3 linked regions of the Caenorhabditis elegans genome follow. The protein of the gene in region 1 purifies or fractionates together with the protein of each later gene. This does not show direct contact. Each region holds a gene or a part of one and is shown in the gene's direction. Other genes may lie near its edges.

The links. Proteins that work in one complex are often made in the same cells at the same time.
Region 2: the proteins of vdac-1 (region 1) and nduf-5 fractionate together in Caenorhabditis elegans (co-fractionation; one large-scale study listed by BioGRID). This does not show direct contact.
Region 3: the proteins of vdac-1 (region 1) and ucr-2.2 fractionate together in Caenorhabditis elegans (co-fractionation; one large-scale study listed by BioGRID). This does not show direct contact.

What each region holds. Positions count from the first base shown.
Region 1 is NC_003282.8:7,505,921-7,509,811, reverse strand, and holds vdac-1 (putative voltage-dependent anion-selective channel), read left to right. Parts: upstream 1-1,920; 5' UTR 1,921-1,923; coding exon 1,924-1,987; intron 1,988-2,060; coding exon 2,061-2,201; intron 2,202-2,368; coding exon 2,369-2,538; intron 2,539-2,695; coding exon 2,696-2,953; intron 2,954-2,999; coding exon 3,000-3,218; 3' UTR 3,219-3,391; downstream 3,392-3,891. Other genes in the region: plc-4 (Phosphoinositide phospholipase C), read left to right, coding at 1-134; R05G6.5 (Uroporphyrinogen-III synthase), read right to left, coding at 337-375, 427-542, 594-673, 851-1,038, 1,086-1,229; Putative sodium-dependent excitatory amino acid transporter glt-6, read right to left, coding at 3,524-3,802, 3,847-3,891. UniProt on the Caenorhabditis elegans protein: Forms a channel through the cell membrane that allows diffusion of small hydrophilic molecules. Plays a role in maintaining mitochondrial morphology.
Region 2 is NC_003279.8:3,000,607-3,004,963, reverse strand, and holds nduf-5 (NADH dehydrogenase [ubiquinone] iron-sulfur protein 5), read left to right. Parts: upstream 1-2,116; 5' UTR 2,117-2,126; coding exon 2,127-2,360; intron 2,361-3,368; coding exon 3,369-3,500; 3' UTR 3,501-3,604; downstream 3,605-4,357. Other genes in the region: Y54E10BL.3 (CcoQ/FixQ family Cbb3-type cytochrome c oxidase assembly chaperone), read right to left, coding at 618-701, 752-779; dnj-28 (J domain-containing protein), read right to left, coding at 3,698-4,149.
Region 3 is NC_003284.9:15,171,947-15,178,898, forward strand, and holds ucr-2.2 (Peptidase M16 N-terminal domain-containing protein), read left to right. Parts: upstream 1-1,957; 5' UTR 1,958-1,958; coding exon 1,959-2,093; intron 2,094-2,142; coding exon 2,143-2,289; intron 2,290-2,551; coding exon 2,552-2,763; intron 2,764-2,816; coding exon 2,817-2,898; intron 2,899-2,945; coding exon 2,946-3,080; intron 3,081-3,085; exon of another isoform or gene 3,086-3,160; coding exon of another isoform or gene 3,161-3,645; intron 3,646-3,715; coding exon of another isoform or gene 3,716-4,517; exon of another isoform or gene 4,518-4,535; intron 4,536-4,906; coding exon 4,907-5,046; intron 5,047-5,097; coding exon 5,098-5,288; intron 5,289-5,804; coding exon 5,805-6,031; 3' UTR 6,032-6,199; downstream 6,200-6,952. Other genes in the region: ocr-3 (Ion transport domain-containing protein), read left to right, coding at 4-113, 155-245, 295-421, 465-581, 638-769, 1,514-1,627; col-41 (Nematode cuticle collagen N-terminal domain-containing protein), read right to left, coding at 3,161-3,645, 3,716-4,517; pkhm-2 (PH domain-containing protein), read right to left, coding at 6,721-6,783, 6,830-6,952.

The sequences.
Region 1 (3,891 bases):
TTGGAGAATTCTCAATTCCTGTTATGAGTCTTCGTACAGGTTTCTCGCAAATTCAACTAAATACCGGATATCAACATACTCTGGACCCATCTGCATCTCTTTTTGTACGAATTGCAATGGAGGAAGAGTACTAATTCTCCTGCTTTTTAAACATATTTTTGAGACCAAAGCCGTTTTTATCACTACCTGTGTGTTATCTGATTACATGTAATATATGTTCTACTGCCCTTTCTTTCGCATAGTTTTGTAGTTAATTTTTAATGCATATTTTTAAAAAATTTATTGTTTTATTGGTTTATGGGTATTTACACTATATTATTTTTTAGAAACATAAACTTATTGGCGTAGTTGGTGTAGATAATCTGCGAGCCATTTCTGAAAGAGTCAAAAAAATCATGTTACTAAATGGTGTATTCGAAAACAAACAATTGGATTATCCGGTCTCTCAACTGCTACGCGAGCCAGTCCCTGGCTCAGTTTCGGCCATACTTCTACTGAGAGATAATCCTTGGCATGTTTCAGCATTGCTCTTTCGTCAATGTCTGAATATATTTTTATGGGAGAGTCAAAATTCTAACTTTATGGAATCTTACACTTGGGGAAAAAGAAAATTATATCGTGATAGGCGGCAATTGTCGTTTTTGAATAATATATTCCATCACTTGAACTCATTCTGAATTAAACGCTTGTGAAGTTTTAAAACTCTTCGGATAGATTTTTTGAAAAACCTCCAAAAGTGTGAAGGTTTCGTACCGAAACGAGACTACGGTAACGGTTATTTTCAACTGTGCGCAATGTTTTTCTTCCATTGTTTTTCAGTATTTTCGGATGTTTGTTGGTCTTTGCTCACCTCTTAGCGATCACATTGTGATATTTGGCCACTTCTTTCATCTCAATAAAAGCATTCGCTCGTTGACACAATAGTAACATGCATGGTCCGTCTATTAGCCTGTCTGATAAGTTCCAGATATCTTGGGATTCAAGATCAGCACTTTTCCACTCCATGACTTCTTCAGTTTTAAAATGCTTCACAGTTTTCTAAATAATCAGTTTCTTCTTCTTTAATTTTCATATATACAACTTACCTCTATAATCCCGAAGTTTTCTTTTGTTATGTGCTTCAGTACGGATTCATATTCATAGAAATAGTTCGGCAGAATAATTACAATTATTCTATCGACTAGGTTTGGATTTTCCAGTTGTGGCTTAGAGACTTCCGAGCGGTACATTTCGAATAGGTTAGATGCAAGTGACAGAAGTGAACTGAATTCGCTGAACCAGGTGATGCGGAAACTATTTGGATTTGTGCTCAATTTCCGGTACCATTTCCTGGTTTAACGCTAAATTTGAGATTTCTTGCTAATTTCATTTTGTTTCGTTAGTCAATATTTCTTTCATTGCATCAAATCTTTTCTTCTCAGTGCATCATTCAATTTTGAAAAACTGCCAAAATAATCCAGTACTTTTGGAAGCGGAGCGGTCGCGCTGCAGTAACCAGTCTCTGTGCCTCTCATTTTCGTCCTATGTCTCGAGACGGGCGGTCGCCGCGCCAATGTGCTTGCCTTTGAACTCTCAATTTGCTGTTGTGGCGTGATCTGTCCTTTCTCTATCGCATTCAATGTTTTCGATACCGTCGGAGTTTTATGTTACAAATGTTTGCTTCTGAATTTCCCGATAAGATAATTGTAAATCATTTAACTGAAACCCTGAATATATTTTTTGGCGATGTTGTGTTTTCTGGCGCATTGTTTATCGACTTCCTACTGCTGCCATTGAGTTGGTTTATCTCTTTCTTTCCGTTTTTCTCGTATGCACTGCTCAATGCAAACATTTTCAAAGCCTTCATTTTTCGAAAATTTCCTATTTTCCTTCTCTCGTGTAACTCTAGAATGCATGTTTCAAAAAATATTTTGTGTTTAGAAAATGGCCCCACCAACCTTCGCTGATCTTGGAAAGTCCGCCAAGGACCTCTTCAACAAAGGATACAGTAAGTTTCAATTTTATCTTTGTAGAGAGGAATAGTGTTAGGTCATTTATTCGCCTGATTAATTTTTTTCCAGACTTTGGATTCCTCAAGATCGACTCCACCACTAGAGCTGGAGACAACAAGGAGGTTGAGTTCAAATCAGCCGCTTCTCACAATATCGGATCCGGAAAGCTTGGAGGAAATCTCGATGTCAAGTACAAGATCCCACAATACGGTAAGCTCGTCTGAACATCTTATTGTCTACCCGCTAGATGGGGACAACCTCGTGACGCAGGTGATGCAATTGTATGTACTCTAAAACACCACGTGACGTCTAGCGACCGCTCAACAAAAATACAACATATTGTGTGAGAGATATCAATCATGTTGTTTCGTTTTCAGGAATCACTTTGACCGAGAAATGGAACACCGAGAACCAGCTCGGAACTGTTATCGAAGTTAATGAGCAATTCGGACGTGGACTCAAGGTCACTCTCGATTCTCTTTATGCCCCACACGCCGGAAAGAGAAGCGGAAAAGTGAAGCTCGACTGGGCTCTCCCAACTGCTAGAGTGAGTAGTCTTGTACATATTTTGGGTGATAAGATTGGCGAAGCTCGTCTCAAGCTTGACTGGAAGCATGATTGTTTCAGGGTTCGATTTTCTGAATGTAGAAATAGAGATTTCAAAAATCCATCTTTGTGAAATGAAACAAATTAGCCATTTACAGGTTACCGCTGATGTTGGAGTCACCTCTGCTCCAGTTATCAACGCTGCCGGAGTCTTCTCCCGTGACGGATGGCTCATCGGAGCTGCCGCCACCTTCGATTCTTCATCGAATAAGTTGGCAGCCACTTCTTTGGCTTTCGGACACTCCACTCCACAATACACCCTCCACTCTTTCGTTATTAACTCAACCGACTTCGGAGCTTCCCTTTACCACAAGGTTGCCTCCAACGTCGAGGTTGGAACTCAACTCGGATGGAAGGTAAACTTTTTAAAATCCTAGAACCAAAACTAAAGTGAATTTTCAGGTTGGTGGAAACGGAGCTGACTACGCTCTCGCCACCAAGTATGCTCCAAGCCGTGACCTTACTGTCCGCGCCAAGGTCAACAGCTCTTCCCAAGTTGCCGTTGCTGCCACACACTCCTTGTCTCCAGCTCTTAAGCTGACACTTTCCACTCAATTCAACCTTGCTGCCAATGATGCTCACAAGTTCGGACTTGGACTCGAATTCGATCCATCCAACTAGATCTTCCGATCACTTCCATTCTCCCATCAATAGCGTTCTTAAAATTCTTTTAGTCCTCAACCGTTGATTTTTCAATGTCGATTTATGTTCTCTAAACTTCGAAAAAAAAGAAATGTCATGCGCTATTTACTTTTCTGCTAAATTTTACAAACATAAATTATTGAGTTTCATCAGTGGCTTAAAATAGTAAAAATGATATGTACAAAACAATCCATGGGTTCTCGCGGAAAGAGGAGAGAATAACCGTTTTCTGTTTTGGAATGGAAAAGTGACATGGACAAAAAATGTAAATATTGATCATGGAACTACACGTTTTCATCGTTGGGCAGAGGTGTGTATGGTGGTTCAATGTTATTATTACGCCAGGAAAGATGCAAGTTGGTGGATGAAGGACGACGAGAGCCAATTCGTGATCCAATTCTTGAGTTTCCAGCTGTGTTCGCGTGTGTCAAGAAGAGCTCCTTAGAAGCTTCTGACATTGTGAATGATGGTCTTCTACTGGTGGCAGCTGACTTCAATAGTTCAATTTCTCCTTTCAGTTCAGTCTTATAATCGTGACGAGCGTCTGCTTGATCCAGCTTTTTCTTAAAATATACAATTGTCTCCAAGTTCGAGTTTTCTATCAAACCTGCAATAAATGCTGAACCATTGAAGCAGCAAACGCATCCCCTAG
Region 2 (4,357 bases), on another chromosome or scaffold:
TTATGTTGTTTATATTCATGAGAAAAATCTAACATAATTTTATTTTAAAAAAAAATGACCAAAACTTTGACATATTTCTCGAAAAATCAATTTCCGGAAATCGAAAATTTTTTAACTAACTAAAAATTCTCATAGAAAAAAAAACATCATCGATTTTTACCTGAAAATCTAAAAAAAAAAGATATATATCGAGTATTTTTAATGTTAAATACAGAAGGAATTGGCAAAAGATGGCCAAAAATTATTTTTCCGGCAAATCGGCAAATTGCCGGAATCGACAATTTCCGGCAAATTGTGGCCTTGCACATTTTTTTGGAACTTTTGAAGAATTTCAATTTAAATAGGCAAAGAAATTTTTAAAAAAGGCATCCAATGAATGTTCTTACATCTATTTTAAAAAATTAAAAATTCTATGAAAATATCTAACGAAAAATGGGAAAAAATTTTAAAAAGGCACAATTTGGAGTGTTTCCGTTTTAAAAAAATCGCTCTACAAATTTCCGTCATATCGATATCCGGCAAATAGGCAATTTGCCGAAAATGAAAAATTCCGGCAATTTCCGCACACGCCTGGGTCAATCGATATTTTTCTCACAAAATTCAAAAAGCTGACTCACCCGGCTCATCAGGAGTTTTCGAATTAATATAAATAACTGTGAGAAAGACGAGAAGCGCGACGACAGGAATAAAAACGTGAACAGCTGAAAATTCATGAAAATCGGTTGAAATTAATTTAATATATTTAACTCACATTCAACGAGATTATAGACGGCGTCCATGTTTGACAGAGCCCCAAGTTGCCTTCTTGCTCCGAGAGAGAAAGAGCACACACTACTGCGCTTGATATCGATTTTTGTGTGCTGCGAAAAGCGTTGAAGAAAACGGAAAAGGAGACCTCCGTTACGAAAAAGATGTGAAAAAGACGAGAGAGGGGGGGGGGGGAGAAGCTCGGATAATAAAATGAATAAACTGGGAGAAAGAGGAAAAGACTTTTGTGGATTTTCAACAATTTTTTAGTAGCAAAGATTCGGAAAATTAGCCGATTTTCCTGAAGAAAAGTTAGTATGAATAAAAAAAATAAATTGACGAAATTTTTTTGAACTTGGAATCCACTTTCAACAATTTTTGAATACAAAGATTTGGAAAATTTGGCGATTTTTTGCGGAAAAATTAGTAGATGGATGGAATTTTGCTGAAATTTTGCTGGGATCCACCGAAAATAGGAAAAATAGCTTAAATTGCGAATAGGTTTTGCAAAAAAAAAATTTTTGTTGAATTTTTGAAAAAAAAGCAATTTTCTAGAAGAATATTTTATTGGTTTTATCTAGTTTTTTGGGAATTTTTTTTTGAAATTTTTCCAAAATCTGGGATTTTTCACCATTTTTCCTTTTTTTTGCGTGATAGTTTGAGATTATTCATGATTTTTCTTCTCTCGAGGCATTTTTTCGAAATTTATTCAACAAAAATTACATTTCATGGCTTTTTTGATCTTGTAGCGTGCCTTTTTATCCAAACAGTATTTAATTTTAGGATTTTTTGGGTAATTCTGAAATTATTACGGGAACACAATTCTAAAAATGCGTATTGCACAACACATTTGACGCGCAAAATATCTCGTAGCGAAAACTACAGTAATTCTTTAAATAACTACTGTAGCGGTTGTGTCGATTTACGGGATCTCGATTTTTGAAATTAATTAATTTAACGATTGAATATTAAAATTAATTTTCTTTAAAAAAAATCGATATCCCGTAAATCGACGCTACCGTATTCATTTAAAGAATTACTGTAGTTTTCGCTACGAGATATTTTGCGGGTCACTCAGAATTTTGCGTTTCCGTAATATTAGTGTGTTTCTTTTTTCGATTTTCCGATACTTAGACAAATTATTTTTTTTTTTCGAAACATGTCTATAAATTTTAGCTATTTTTCTTCTTTTTTTTTGAGAAAAATGTTTTTTTTCCTATTTATGCATTTCCTCATCGACATAAAAAAATTAACACAGATTTTAAAATTTTAGTTTTTTTTTCTAAAACATTTTCTGATTATCTCTGAAAAAAAAACCGAAAAATCGATATTTTGCTTCTCAACTCATAATAAAATTCCAAAATTCCAGAACATCCGCAATGGCAACTGGTAACCGTAATCCGGAGAACTTCACATCATTGTCACCAATCGTAAAGGCTCCAATAACCGATACTCTTTCGGTTCCACTCTCCCAACAGGGACGTATCTGCGGATTCTTTGAATCTCAATTCTACCGTTGTATGGAGGCTTACGGAGCAAAGATGGGACGCAAGTATTGTGATCTCGAGCATCGTGACTTCCAGGAGTGTGTCACTGGGGATAAACAGAAGAAGGTTCGATATCCGGAACAGAACTGTCGCGAAAAAAAATTGGACTAAAAAACAAAAAATTAGTGAAAACCAAATAAATTTGATCCCTTGAATTTATTCTTTTAACGGAGGACTAACGGTTCGGACGATTTTGAACGTATAGACCCAAAATGTTCTCAAATGAACGAATTTCGTAATGAAACTTTTCAAAAAATTTCCAAAAATTTTTTATGGCGGTTCAAACTTTTGAAAAAATTACACTGATTTTGGCTAAAATCTCGAATTTTGCCCATTTTTCCGTGTCACATCTGTTCGAAGTTGGCTTTTTTTGGAATTATCGTCCTTTATTACATATATTGGTAATTAATCTCATTTAATTTCGTGGATCAAATAACATTTAAAGCCGATAGGTAACCAATTTCGATGATTTTTGGTTACCTATCGGCTTTAAATGTACTTTAATCGACGAAATTAAATGAGATAAACTACCAATATATGTAATAAAGGACGATAATTCCAAAAAAGCCAACTACGGACAGATGTGACACGGAAAAATGGGAAAAATTCGTGATTTTAGCTAAAATCAGTGTTATTTTTCAAAATTTTGAACCGCCATAAAAATTTTTTAAAAATTTTTGAGCAGTTTCATTACGAAATTCGTTCATTTTCCGGAAATTTCTAAAATTCTAATTTAAAAAAATGTTCCTTCATTTTTCTGATTTTTGAGTTTATTTTCTCGTCTTCTTTCATGCAATTTTTCCGATTTTTCTCCTATTTCTAAAGAAAAGAAAAATCGAAAACTCTGAAAAATTTGGTTTTTTAACTTTTGGATTTTTTTTGTTGATAAAATCGAATATTTTTGGTTTTCGATTTTCCTAAAAATTTAAATGTGTGTTCTCCAGTTTTTTTGCCCTGAAAGAGAAAAAACTACCATAATCTTTTTTCTGCGCATCGAGACCCATCTGAATAAACCCGTGCGCCTTTAAAAAACATCACATGAAATTCCAAAATAATCGAAAAACAATTTTCCAGAGAGCTGACGCCATCCGTGAACAACGCTGCAAGCTGTTCCTCGACGGAAAAATCGCGAAGCCATACGTCGACAATCATCCAGAACCGGGACAATTCAAGACTGATCACTTCCAGTGGAATCGTATCAACTAGATACTTGAAGTGCCTTTAGTTTCGAGAGAAATCGCCTTATTTTTTGTAGTTTTCATTTCTTTTTTCTTTTTAATCTTTTCTAAGTACATAAAAAGATTTATAATAAAAAAAAAAAGAAGCAAGTTAAGAGATCAATAATAGTCCGGGTAACACATCCAATGACACAATAATATCTATATCTATAATGAAATATGAAATTAAAAATGGAAGAAAAAGTCGCCGCCACCACGGCCGCCACCACCACCACCGCCGAATGGATTAAATCCGTGGAAATTATGAAATCCGTGTGATCCTCCACCTCCACCTCCACCCCTCCCTGCTTCCGAATCCAGTGGATCTTGTCCATTATCGAAAGCTCGCCGCTTCTCCTCATTGCTCAAAACTTCCTTCGCCGCGGCAATATCGATAAACTTCTTCTCAGCTTTCTTCTTCTCCTTCTCATCCTGAAAGTTGTCCGGATGCCATTTTTGAGCCATTTTTCGATAGGCTTTTGTGATTTCTCGTTTATTGGCGTTCCGGCGGACTCCGAGAATTTTGTAGTAATCTCGTTTTCCGACGAGTTCCTTTGCACGCTTTGCTTGATCTTTTCCAGTTCGGACGGCGTCGTTTGATGAATCCCATTCTTCGGCTTTTTCGTAGTCAGCGATTGCTGGAAATTAGATTTTGATGATCGATAAATCCGTGAAAAGCAGCGCCGCACAGAAAAAGAGGCGGGGCTTATTTTTGCAATCCTGCGGCACGGTTTTTCCTCCTTTTTATTGATTTTTTTCAATGAGAAATTCTGAATTTCGTCAAAATTTTCTGTTAAAACGAAGAAATAGCGTGCGGAGGCTTGCGAAAACCTGCGCCGCACAGAA
Region 3 (6,952 bases), on another chromosome or scaffold:
CAGAAGTCTTAAATTTGTCGGGCCATTTGTGTTGATGGTGTACAAAATTATTGTGAGAGATATGCTGCGATTTTTGCTTATATACTCGTTTTTCTTAATGGGATTTGCACAAGGTGAGTGTTTTCATAATTTCAATTGTCGAAGTATTTTCCAGCATTTTTTGTTATATTCAAATCCTGTGAGAGAGCAGAAATTGCTTATCAGAAAGCTCATAACTATACTGAAGACGATGAATATATTGAGAAGTAAGAAAACATTTCTTATCACGATTTTATACTACCTAATGTTTTTTAGATTTGAAAACATCATGGAAGATGGTTGGGAGGCAGTGATGAGAATGTTTATTATGAGTGTGGGAGAATTTGGTGCACTTTATAAAAACTTGAACGAGTGCAAAAGCAGCATTGCTCCACAGTCCAAGGTTACAAAAAAAGCTCTTTTCAGGCTTACAAGCTCGTTTTAAGGTATTTTTCATCCTCTTCGAGTTAATTGTGACTGTTATGCTTCTGAATCTACTAATTGCTATGATGACTCGTACTTATGAGAAAATTGCCGAAACTGAGAAAGAATGGAAGCGTCAGGTGATTTTTTTATACTTCAACATTTTATTTTCAAGTTTCACCATTTTACTTTCCAGTGGGCGCAAGTAATTTTAATGTTAGAGCAGTCATCTTCAGCCTCGGAACGCCTCCTATCACTTTATCGTTATACTCGGCCAATACGTTCCGATAAACGAAGAAGAGCATTTGTTGTGAAAGTGAAGTCGAATGTAAGTGAATCTATAAATTTTCCCTAATTTATACTAGAATTTGAAAAAAATTAACTTTATTTCTTATTGTACAAATTTGATGGCAAGACTTGGTGATTCCCGAATCCTATTAAAGGTTGTGTAGTCGAATATTTTTAATGCTTTATTAGACTTGAAATTGTCTGAAAACACCGAATTTCATAATGAAACTTCTTGAAAACTTCTCAAAAAAAAGTTATGACGCGTGAAAAAGTGACCTAAAATTAGTTAAATTTTGAAATTTGACCGACTTGCCTATGTCGCAGCGGCTGGAAACAATTTTTTTTTGAAATTACCGTCAAATTTTGAATAAACCGTGTAATTATCTTGTGTTTTCAACTTTATTTAGGTACTTTAAAGTCGATGGAAGGCAAGATTTGGTTTAAAATAATTTAAAAATCTCGCCGTTATTCTAGCGAATTTTGGGCCATTTTGTGAGCCGTCATAACTTTTTTTAAAAAGAAGTTTTCAAGAAGTTTCATTATGAAATTTGGCATTTCCAGACAATTTTGAGTCTAATAAAGCAATAAAAAAATTCGACTACACCACCTTTAATGTCTTCAGAAATATCCTAACTTGGTTTAAGCACATTTTGTTAGTTTTGTAAAAATTATAGGAAAACATAATTTTTGCTGAAACTGAAAAATTTGTAATCAAACTTTTCCTCTCGAAAAAAACCTCACAAAATTTATATCATTTTTTTAGTTTTCAAATATATTTTTTCAGGACCGCCAGCAACCACAACTCAAATTAATTCCACCGCGTGGAAAACCGTCAATCCGCTTGTCAAACAACAGTTCCATTCATGTCTTACATGTTCTATCAAAACATGCTTCGTAAAAACTAAAAAAATTTCAATTATTCGTTTATTAATTTTTGCCGTAATAAAGTGTTCATAGTCCTCGTCGTTTCATGCCATTTGGCCAGTGACGTATGTGCGCACGAAACGCGCAAGCGAGAAGGGATGCGTCAGCAATGAGTCGGGAAAGGCGTCTCTCATTTTTTGGACCTATTTTTGTGAAAAATGAAGTTATTTTTAGTTTTCCATTTAATATTTAAACAAAAAATGAATAAATTTGATAAATTATGCACTTTTTATAACCGTATTGTTCAATTTTACCCAATTTTTGAAAATTATCTAGTTTTTCTTTGAAAATCTAGTTTTTTCAGAATGCTTAGCCGCAACATTGGAGCTGTTCGCGGAGCCCATAAGGCAGCAACGACAAAACCAGTCGAAAAAGTGGCCAAACTTGGAAATGGATTGACCGTTGGAACTATCGACTCTCACAAACCAATTGCACATTTGGTTTTTTTTTAATTTGTTTCTTCTATCCGAAATCATCTTCAAATTTTAGGTTCTTGCCTTCAGAGCTGGAAGTCGCTACGAAAAAGCCAACCAGGCCGGACTCTCTCATACCATCAGAAATTTCGTCGGCAGAGATACCCAGGAATACTTTGGAAACACAGTTGTATGGACGTTGTCACAGACCGGAGGAGTTCTGGTGAGCAAGAAAAAAAAATCGATAAAGTTGAATCTACTGGGCGTTAGAAAAGAACTAAGAATTTTAATGTAAATTTGAAGAAAGATTGCATAATACATTCACAGTTTTTTTTAGAAAAGATTTGTTAGAAAAAAAATTTGGAATTAAGTATTTTGTATCAAAATTTCAGAAAAAATGTGGTCTAATTAACTTGGAGCAAAATTATCAAATTTTCATGAGCATTCCAAAAAGTCTCACAGACATAGCGAGGGTGATGTTTCAGAAATCCTTCACCTCCCGCGATCTTTTCGGAGTCTCCCTCACAATTCCACGCGAAAGCACTTCCGTCGGACTTTCCGTATTGGGACAAGTCGCTGGTAACCCAGGATTCAAGCCATGGGAAGTCGAGGATGTGCTGCCAACTATGCGCGCTGACAACGGATACAGAACCGCTTACGACTTGGTTGTTGACCAGATTCACAAGGCCGCTTACAGGTTTGGCATTGAGAAGCTTTCGAGAATTCATTGAGCAAAACTTTTTTTTTTAGAAATGGAGGACTTGGAAACTCAATCTATGCACCATGCTCTAAAATTGGATCGATCTGCACATCAACTTTGTCCTCATTTGCAGTAAGTTGCTTATTCTTATCTGCAAGTTTTCAATTTTAAAATTTCAGGAGCAGCACTTCGTCACAGGAAACGGAGTATTGTTTGCCACTAATGCTGTTCACGATGACCTTCTTCTCTATGGAGACAATCACGCCCCAATCAGAAGTGGAAACGCTGCGTCCCCATCTTCAAGTGCTTACAAGGTGAGTTCTTGAAAACGAATATTTATTCAGTGGAGTTGGATAACAAAGTCATAAATAATGTCATGAGAAGTGTCACGCATCTACCAACGTCTCTGGTAGCTTCCAGTTTGTGGTGGAGATGGAGCATCGTATCCTCCTGATGGCTGCTCTGGCTTGGCTGGTGGTGGGACGGAATAAGCTGGCTCAGCTGGATAGCTTGGGGATGGGTAGCTCGGAGATGGGTAGCTTGGGGATGGATAGCTTGGAGATGGATAGCTTGGAGACGGGTAGCTTGGTGATGGATGAGCTGGCTCTTGTGGAGCTGGGGATGGGTATCCAGAATCTGGAGTCTCTGGCTCTCTGACTGGTGGCTGTGAAGCTGGTGCTGGACGAGTTGTTGCTGGTGGAGCGCGGGTGGTTGCTGGTGGAGCACGAGTTGCTGGTGGAGCGCGAGTTGCTGGTGGAGCACGAGTTCCTGGAGCAGCAGTGGATCCACGTGGTGGTGGCTGTGGAGCGGATGTTCCAGATGATGGTGGGGTTCTGTCGTCTTGTCTTTGTGGGCATGGGCAGTAGTTGGCATCTTTTCCTGAAACAATTTAAAATGTTTCATCACTGTTTGTTCAAGAAATTCCTAGTAACAACAACAAAAATTTTACCTGGAGCTCCTGGCTTTCCAGCTTGTCCCGGGGTTCCTGGGAAGGCGTCGTGACCAGCGTTTCCTGGAGTTCCTGGTGCTCCTTGTGGTCCCTCCTCTCCGTCCTTTCCTGGCTCTCCATGTTGTCCTGGAAGTCCTGGCTCTCCCAACCATCCTGGCTCTCCTGGCTGTCCAGCTTGTCCTGGGAAGTATGTGGTTCCTGGCTGTCCGTCTGGTCCGTCGGTCCCATCGTATCCCTTTGGTCCTTGTTCTCCTTGATCTCCTGGGGCTCCCTCCTGTCCTGGGGCTCCATCTTCACCGGATGGTCCGGATTGCCCTTGAAGTCCTGGGAATCCTTCTGGTCCAGAGTCTCCATCAGGCCCTGGTGGTCCAGCTGGTCCCTCTGGGCATTTAATGCATCCTCCTGGAATATCGTGAGTGGTTGCAAGAGAGATACCACTGGCTCCACGTCTTCCTTCATCTCCTGGATGTCCTTCGTCTCCACGCTTTCCTGGGTTTCCTGGTGGTCCTGGTGCTCCTGCTGGGCATCCTTGAGAGTTGCTGTCGCAATTGCACATTCCTGGGTACACAAATCTCTTGTTACGGAGGAGGGATGGCACTGGATTGGCAGATTCTCCTGTTGGAGATTGAAGAATCAGGAGACGATCCCAAGTATCATCGGCAAGAACTTTGAACTCATCAACGCGTCCTTCAACTTCGGAACGAAGGTTGTTAATATCTTGAACAATATGTCCAATTGAGCAAAGAGCGGAGAAAACTCCGAGCAAGCAGACGCCTGCCCCAATATAGCCAAGAGTAGACATCGTTGAGAACAATGTTGTGTATTGCTTTGGTGAACACTTTTTTATACATTTTTCTCCGAAAAAACTCGAAAGCCGGCAAGAACTTGCAAGGGCAAGGGGGAGGCTGGGAAAACTTAGAAACTTAGACACGCAACAGATCGGGAAGAACGCGCCGATAAAAAATTACCGGTCCTAGTCGTATGACAGATATCGCAATGCGACGGATATTCAGTATACCTTTGGCATGAAGAGGAAAAAACTTGCTACTATTGTTTCTTTCCCCGAAAAAATGCAATCACTCATTTTGGATTTGGAAATAGAACAGAAAAACTTTGCAAATTTCAATTTCATTATCCACTCCACTGTTTATGTTATCTATACTATCATTTCTCACCTTTTCTGACACCTAGGGAGGAGAAGTGCGCAGAGATGCCGATTCGAAGTACGCGCATGTGATTGTCGCTGGAGAAGGAGCTGCCGGAAACAACACGAAAGCATTGGCCACCCAAGCAGTTCTCCTCACCGCACTTGGAAATTCATCACCAGTCAAGTAATACAAAAAAGGAATTACAATGTTCACACTTGAAATGATTAATTTCAGATTCAACACCGGAACCACTGGAGTCATCGCAAAAGCCGTCGGACAGAATGGATCGGCCAGCGCATTCCAAGCTGTTCATGCGGATAGTGGACTGGCCGGAGTATACCTTGTCGTTGAAGGAAGCCAGGCTAACCAAGCTGTTTCGAATGTAGTTGGAGCATTGAAGTCTTTGAAGGTCGCTGATATTGAAGGTAAGAAATTTTGTTTTTTAGAGTATAAATTTGATAAAATGGGATCACACTATTTTTGTACATCGATATTTCTGAAATTATAAAAAAAAATAAAAATTAAATAAAGATATGCTTCTAGGATGTTCTACAACATTCTATAATAAAATAGTCCAGAAAGCTGCAGAACTTTCCGGGGCAAAACTTTCAAAATTTTCGGAGAAAACTTTTTTCACGACCTAATACTTGACATTTTTGTATGTAGATTTACAATTTGAGCCGCCTTAGAGAAGGGCTTTTGTATAAATATGATTTTTAGAGGCCTATACTGAAAACCCAAAATATAAATTGTGTTCTTGTGGTAGAGTTGAACTTAACTAAACTAGACTAAAGCTAAACTATGCTAACCTTGTCGTAAAATTTAAGCGAAATGGAATATTTCTAGCACAAAACTAATTGCAGATTTTTAGGTTGATGGTAATTTCAAACTACTGTGACGTTACCGACTTAATCGGTTTTTGTATTAATTTCAACTTTCAGCCGTCAAGAAGCAGGCCTTCAACAACGCCTTGAGAGCCTCTGCTCATTCCGACAACTTTGCCATCGAGAGAGCCTCCCAACTCTTCCAGTCCCAAGACAATTACATTCAACAGATTCCAAATGTGTCGGCTAGTGATGTTGAAGTTGCCGCCAAGAAATTGACTACCAAGTTGTCGTTGGCCAGTTATGGAAATGTCTCAGAAGTCCCATATGTTGATACTCTGTGAGCATCTAGTTAAATTAAATGATTTTACTCCAGTAGACGAACGCATTTTGTTATTTTTTGGTCAATTTGTTTTCCGTCTCATATGACTATTTTTTTGCTGTCAATAAAAGGTACTAGACTTTGAAATTTGTTTGTTCAATGAACAAAAAAATAAAGAAATTATTCACGTAATCAAAAACAGACAGAAAAAAAAAGTAAGCTCGAATAAGCTTATACATATACCGAGGGTGAATAAGTGAATTGTAAATGTGAGAGTTAGGCTTTGAAACGTTCGGGAGAAGCGGGAAAGAATGACAACTTAAACGTGTAAAAACATGAAATTCCGTATAATCTAGTTTGGGGTGTGAGCATTGAAATGTGCAGGATAACAACAACAAAAAGGTGGGTTGAAAGAAATCTGGGAAATTAACAGTTATTAGCCGTGACGAACAGAAGCACCGGGGGCTCTGCACAAATGGGCCCGCGATAGACTACAATTAAATGAGACAAGTTCGAAGGAACAGAGTTGAAGGTGGGAAGAGGAGATGACATGAGCTACTGAGCTACTTTATAAGTGTTAAGGCTGAAATGGAAATGAATGTGTATGGGGAAAATTGGGACAAAAAAAGTACAAAAGTACAATGGGTACCCGGACCAGGTAGCGATTATCATGGAGTTAACTCTTGATGAGTAAAGAAATGGAGATGCGAATTAGACTGGCCACAGCGTGTTGGCGGAGCAGCAAGTGTTATGGATGATTTTTCCAATCGGTGTCTAGAAATTATATTTAATTAGTTACTAAGTTTCTCTATTAACATACCTTAATCAAATCATCATCAAGCTTTGCCCAACGGACACCGTAACTGCTTTGAACAGCAGACGCAAGCCGTTCCAGCTCCTTATCGAATCGGACGAAGAAGTAATGAATGGTATCGTCTTTGGT